2 linked regions of the Xenopus tropicalis genome follow. The protein of the gene in region 1 interacts with the protein of each later gene in a pairwise test. Links are inferred from orthologs where the notes say so. Each region holds a gene or a part of one and is shown on either strand. Other genes may lie near its edges.

Evidence for each region.
Region 2: the proteins of klc1 (region 1) and mapk8ip3 interact in binary tests that used the Homo sapiens proteins (3 or more experiments, as listed by UniProt). The link is inferred for Xenopus tropicalis from reciprocal best matches to the Homo sapiens genes KLC1 and MAPK8IP3.

What each region holds. Positions count from the first base shown.
Region 1 is NC_030684.2:98,526,563-98,530,220, forward strand, and holds part of klc1 (kinesin light chain 1), read left to right. Parts: coding exon 1-108; intron 109-786; coding exon 787-865; intron 866-1,216; coding exon 1,217-1,442; intron 1,443-1,876; coding exon 1,877-1,964; intron 1,965-3,658. UniProt on the Homo sapiens protein: Kinesin is a microtubule-associated force-producing protein that may play a role in organelle transport. The light chain may function in coupling of cargo to the heavy chain or in the modulation of its ATPase activity.
Region 2 is NC_030685.2:22,616,443-22,620,100, reverse strand, and holds part of mapk8ip3 (C-Jun-amino-terminal kinase-interacting protein 3), read right to left. Parts: intron 2,387-3,658; coding exon 2,348-2,386; intron 862-2,347; coding exon 682-861; intron 57-681; coding exon 1-56.

The sequences.
Region 1 (3,658 bases):
CAGAAGTTGCAGAGGAGTGAGCAGTCTGTGGCCCAACTGGAGGAGGAAAAGAAACATTTAGAATTTATGAATCAGCTGAAAAAATATGATGATGATATTTCCCCATCGGTATGCACTTTAACTGAAGTTAAATTTTCCATTCTTGCATATGCTGATATTAATGCGTGAAGCACAGTATATGTGCTTACATTTAAATTAAAGTGATAGAATTGATTTTATAAATTTGGGTCGATGATTATTTTAAAACTAAAATGTTTTTTTAACTCTGTAAAATAAAAATTGGCAGCAAAAAGATGTGCATGGTGTTGCGGTATTGCAGATGAAATCCGCCTGTTGTGCCTCTTTAGTGCCCATGCAGAGAGCACTTCTGGTCTGGCTGCACTCTGGATCTTGTGGCAGATTTAAAAAAAATCTGTGCGGGGTACAGAATGCAACACCAGCAGACCCCTTTTTCTGGATTGCTTGAGAATTCCCATAGATTCCTGTAATGTTAGTCTTTGTGATTTAATTATGCTTCTCTCTACCTGTCTGCTCAGATGAATTTATGGAAAAGCCCTTTGACTGAACCATATGTGTGGATATCCGCTTGGCATTCTGTGTGTTCTTCAGGCATAGTGGAAATGCTTGACATTAACCTGAATCACAAAAACATTCTAATGGTTAAAAAAAACAGATCGTTTTTATCCCCCCCATGTTTTGTACTAGTGCTCTTACCCAGTCCCAAGTTTTGCAAAAATAAAATTCAGATACCTATACTTACTTGTTCTTACTGCTCATTTTTTTCAGGATGATAAAGATAGCGATTCCTCCAAGGAAACTCTGGATGATCTGTTCCCAAATGATGATGATGATCCAGGCCAAGGCAGTAAGTGCATGAATACCTTTAATGTCCCTTCTAGCTTCTGTTTTTTTATTTTTTATACATACGGGTTATTGGCTCCATCCAGTAATTTATTCCAGACTCAAGGATATATGTTCCAACAAGATTTTCAGTTTTATTGAGATTCACCTAATGGTTGCTGATATGCAATTCACTTGTGATTTGTTTACATATTCTTTTTGCAATAGTGGGTGAAGTACTACCATCTAAAGCACTCTTGTGCCAGTAGTATTCATGGAAACAGACCTTTAACCCAAAATACAGTCATAAAAGTGGCCAAGGATATGTTTGCTTGCAATATGGCTGGATAAATTAATCTGTTCTCATTTTGTGCAGTACAACAGCAGCACAGCAGTGCAGCAGCAGCTGCCCAGCAAGGTGGCTATGAAATCCCTGCAAGATTAAGGACCCTCCATAACCTGGTGATTCAGTATGCTTCCCAGGGAAGGTATGAAGTTGCTGTACCTCTCTGCAAACAAGCTCTTGAAGACCTGGAGAAGACCTCTGGACATGATCACCCAGATGTTGCCACAATGCTCAATATACTTGCTTTGGTCTATAGGTCAGTAGTTTTGTCTGCATAGTAAGTAACCCTGCCCTGTCTTTTCATTGCAGATGTTTCATGATTTTATAGGTTATTGTTGTGCATCCTACAGTAAAGATATTTTTAAACTGTCTGTTACCCCAGTTACCTGTGCTTTCATATTGTATGTAGGCTGGAGGTGTTATATGTTTGCATATATTCCAGGCTGGGGGCCATATGTAATCCTGTGTAGTGCTCATTCAGCTCACAGGCCTCCATTCGCTGGTACTGGAATGTGTTTTACTTCCAGTACCCATTAATATAAGCATCTTATCTTGACCATGTAACACAAACAGCCTATTTAGTTCCAGTTTAATTCCAGTTCCCTCACCCCCCCTTTTTTTTTTTTTTTTTTTTTTAACAAGTGCATACCTGAGCTAATGCTTTATGTATGGTTCTAAACTCTATTACAGGGATCAGAATAAATACAAAGATGCTGCCAACCTATTAAATGATGCCTTGGCTATCCGTGAAAAGACTTTGGGCAAAGACCACCCAGCAGTAAGTGGAGATATATATATATATTTTTTTTGTTGTTGTTGTTTTGTCTCCTTGCTGTTTAGTTAAGTGTTAATGTTAATTAATGGTAATTTAAACTTAACAGGAGAGGTTACTTAACACTGGGATTCTCAGTAAAATTAGCAGGTAGGATTACATGTTGATGTTCACTCTGGTCACCGATCAACACTACAGAAAATTTGCCTTCATGTTAAAGCAGCTGTCCTACCAAGATACCATTCTACTACACTACAGAAAGAGAAAAGAAATATATATGTTTTATATATCTATTAGTCCTTACCAATTGTCCTACTTGCAGTTTCTCTCTAGGCATGCTTCTCTTACTGCTACCTGCGTTCTTTTTACCAGTTCATCATCATCTCACTCACACCTAGTTCATTTATCTTTAGCTTCTTTCTTTTTGGAGAAAGGAAAATGTAAAAGAAAGTTTTCTTTGTGTTGTTAGGAGACCTATTGGATAAATAGAAAAACCCCTAATTTTGTAGGCAATTATGAATAAAATGAATTCAATTTGTAAAAATGGCCCCTTTATTGGAGCTCCCTATAGATCCTACCAGTTCTCTGTCTGTGTTTCAAATGAAGGGTGGGTGTGTCTTAATGGTCCCTGCCAGAAGCACAGCAGGAGGGGGACAACCAATCACAGCCTTGCACTTACACAAGCAAAGATAGGCTTCAGTTCCCTATCAGATCAGCCTAGCTGCTGATTGGTTCCTATCCTACAATGCCATGTACTGAGAGTCGCGGGCTCCCCTGCACACCCAGAGAATTCAGCCTGCAGGAAGGGGAACAGATGGGCGGGACTAGTGGGGTTTTGGTGGAATTTCTCAATAAATCAGTCCAAAACACAACTTTTTTAAGCACAATCCTTCTATATTTAGAGGAGTATAATTCACTGGTACATTCTTAATTTTTATATGATGTGTCTCTTTTAAAGAAAAAAGTACCATTGCTCCTTCATAGAGTTGCAGCAACAATTCTCCAAATGTTTCTAACATGAAAGGATCCCCTGACAGCCTTTGCATTGAAGTTTTATTTTGTGAGACAAAAGAAAGCAAACCAATATTTTAAGATATCTTTAAATTAGAGACAGAATGCCACAAATTGTCCAATTACAAAATGATCTGGTTTTTGGTCCTAAATTGACCCTGCAATGAAACACCTCCTCCAGTGCAGTAACATACTTAACCTAGCTAATCTGGAAACAATATCTGTAACAGGTATCTGACATAACTCTGAAGCTGGTCAATACTGTTTGGTTTAAACAAAGAATTATAAAGAAAAAAATAACTTTTAACTTAAGCATACAGATTGAATTATTGTGGGCTGCTCCTTTAACATACCTGCTGAAATTCATATTTTTCTGTCCTACATTAGATTTGAATTCAGTTAACAAATGCATGCTTTGAAAGCAAATGGAAAACAATTTATGCTTTTGTGTTGAATATTGTAAATTGCTTGTAAAACATGACCATGGTGATTTTTGTATCAGTTTGAAATCTGTAGATGAGCTGATTTTATCCCTAAAGGTGAAGGAAAGGCATTTTGGGATTTTACTGTCAATAGATTTGCCACATTAATGCCACATAGAATAATATATATATTCTGCAGAAAGCATTACCATACTGGAGTAAAGAGCCCTAGAAGCTTTCTCTGTTTGCTTAAGATTGCAGCTGCCA
Region 2 (3,658 bases), on another chromosome or scaffold:
AGGGTTCTCTGATGGGCTGTCCAGCACACTGCCATTCAGGGTAGCCAGCACATTCCCTGGGAGACAACAAGGCACATTATAAAGAAATATTAACACAAACTGCACAAAGACCATTCCAGAAACACTTTTAGATTAAGACAATATTAAAGGGGTGTTCACCTTCAGGTTAACTTGATGAAATTACCTATTCTTAGCAACTTTTCATTTGGTCTTCATTTTTTTATAGCTTTTGAATGATTTCCCTTTGTCTTCTGACTCTTTCCAGCTGACCCCAGCAGCAAAAAAATAATTCCTCAGCGGGGCTACAATTTTATTGTTACACTTTATTACTTATCTTTATATTTAGGCCCTTCACTATTCATATTCATGTCTTTCTTTCAAACCACTGGCTTGTTGCTAGGTTATATTGCACCCTAGAAACCTGATAGCTGCTAAAATTTCAAACTGGAACAAACCACAACTAATAAAAAATGAAGTCCAGTTGCAAATTGTCACTGCCTGTGTTTTACTAAAAGTTGAACAACCCCTTAAAAGGGACAATATTTTCCCTCTATCCATAGAAAATATCAGAATCTATATGGAATGTGTATATGTAGATAGGTATATTTATTCTACGATGGAACCTTGCTGTCATAAAATACAGTATATACTGTAGGTTTCTCTGATTCTAGTTGCTCTCACCTGGTACAGATACAAAAAACTTAACCGCATCCCGGTGCCCATGGAAACAGAGCTGGGCCTGTGCCATGGAGCAGTATGGGATAAAACTGCCTGCGGTCTTGTCGCTGTTCTCATCGCTGTACACGTGGATGACTCCCCCAGGCCGCGTTCCCTCTCCAGAGGTGGGTGAAGTCTTGTTGGCTGTAGATATATAAAGTATTTGATAAGAAAAATAAACCCAATGAAGGCAGTGAATGTCACAGACAAGAGAGTGGGAAGTCTTATGCAAAATGTTATCATTGGCATTTTCTGTATCATGGGTGCCCTTGACTCTGAGACACTGGAACTACAAAGTCATTTAGATTTATAAAATGCTGACCCCAAGATCTGTTGAATCATGTACAGGTCCAGCAACACGGCCTTAGCAGAAGAGCGCCCCCCCCCCCCAGCCCACATAAGCCTTACTTCTTTTTGCCAAGGTTGGGAGTCACTTTGGGGGGCCCTGGGCAACCACCCACATTGCGCTTATGGTAATCTACCACTGCCTGTATGACATCTCATTTACACAACCTTCCTACATACCAATAAAGGGACCCTTAAGCACAAATTACCCATGTTTTCACATAACTTAGTTGTTCTAATATAAATATATATATATATATATATATATTATTTTTAATATATATATGTATATATATATACTACAGGCCCCATAAAAAAGTTAGCAGGGCCCTACTTCTATGAACCCCATTTATTATCCCAATGGTCAACATGGCTCCCTGGGAAGTTAGCCCTGCCAACAACTAGAATAGGGCCCCAAAAATCCACCCAAATCCTACCAACTCCCTCCAAACCCTGCCTACTCCACAACCAGCAAATCACACCATTAATTCTCTTGGGGCCACCTCTGCCACGTAGCCCATCTGGAGTAGCTCCTGTACCCTGTTGATATTGGCCCCCGACTGTAGGTCACATACAGACAACTTCCAAAGTAAAGGAAATTCATATAGGATCTTTACCTCTGAACATTTTTCTTTAGCCACTCATCCCCTTTGCCTGACACCCTAAATGTATATTGTAAACACTATGGGACACATACTCACAGCACCGTCTTTCTTAACAATCTGACGGTGCTATTGGATAACACTGTGGGGTTCCATTTTGGAAGACAATGGTTTGGTCCCCTCCTTATCATTCAGTGGATCAGAAAACTCCCTGTAGCCCTCTGCTATGATCGCATTATGGAAAACTCCTTGTTCAATGCCATTGTAAATCTCGCACAGGAAATGAGACATTTTGTATGAGGTTATGTCAACTGCCATTTATTTTAGGGATGCACTGAATCCTGAGTGCCTGGTCAAACCAAATCTGGGGGCGGGGAGTTGATCTTGGGTAAAGGTAAAAATGAATTAGAATTTAGATTAATTTCGGTTTTTGCCCAAATCAACGTGGGGAATTAGGTATTTGGGCAAAATAGAAAAATGATGAGTTCGGTGCATCCCTATTCCATACATACAGTACACCAAACAACACAGAGCCCACCACCAAACAGTCAGAGGCTTTCAGAAGCCTCTGTGATCTCATGAATGCTGAAGGATGATGAAAAGATTCAGATGGAGAGAGAGAAGGTCATGTGGAAGGATGGGATGAGGTGAGATCTGTGGAACTTCATAGGTCCTCGACTTACCCCTCAGCCCCAGCAGCTGCCCCCGATGTAGGACTACCGCTAGCGGAGGTCAGGAGAGGTGGAGGGGTTGGGAATAGTAATGGGGAAATGAGGAAGAGAAGGAAAAGCGAGGGAAGGAAGGGTAGGCATGGAGAACACAAAAAGAAAAGAAATTATTGGCAGGATCTTCCCAAAGTAAATTATAAATCCTCTGCTTTAAACAAAACAAAAGAGCAATTCTCTGCACTCTGTATCCTGGGGGAATGGTGTGGGCATGTTTATGTGTAAGGTGTTGGTATCCTTTTAAAGGGCAAGTAAAGCCTCACTTAGGCTTGGTTTATTAGTATATATGCCCCAGGTTTAGAAGGGGAATGAGACGCATCCCAGAATAAAAAGGGCTGGGTTCAAACTATAAACAAAGAAATATAAGATGCTGGCCACAGCAGCACTGGGCTGGGATTCAAAATAGGCCGTGGCATTTCCAGTACACAGAGGCCCAAAAAGCTCTCACCAGTCCACTATATAGTGATATAGTCTATGGCATCTTACAGCAGCCCCTCTGGTATTTGCCAGAATGCACTGAATGCCAGTCCGGGCCTGGGCCACAGAAAGCAACAAAGCAGCCCCATGCCATTATATTCATAAACTAAGCCTACAGCTGGGGCAATATTAAGGCTGAGTTATATTCACCAGAAACTTTTCGGGACCTTGGAAAAAGAAGCTTCTTACAAGGCCTCCCCTGACAATGACAATATGCTAAATGTCATATTTAGACAAGGGTAGAAGGTGGTTCTTGCAGCCAGTACCACTGGGCCTTATTTAATGAAATACAAAGAGTGTTCCTCATTATGTGGTGCTGCCTGTGCCTGGCATGCTAAGAGATAGATGTGGGTGTTGGCTGGGATTATTAAGGCTGCACAAGGCATGCAACAAATTGCATCGAGCCCACACTCGTGTAGGTGAGGATAATATTATTTTGGGCAGAAAATGTCCCTAGTGAGTGCTATGCCAACCACACCAAAAGGGAGCTTCTGGTGTGGGGGCAGCCATGTTGGTACAAGATGCAGGCGCATAATTTAATATATGCATGACACAGGATTTGTATATTCCTTCCTTGTTCTTACAGAACATGAATGCGCATAAATGAGTAGGCTAGGGTACTCATTATGTGCAGCTAAACACTACTGGTGGCATTTTATGGTCAAAATATTATTGTTTTCCCTCAGCCAGAGGGTATGATCTATTATACCACATTTCCAGTAGGGGGAAGCAAATCAGCTAAGATATGTGCCCTTTAACACCTAAACAGGGTATTTTGCACCACTAAGTGCT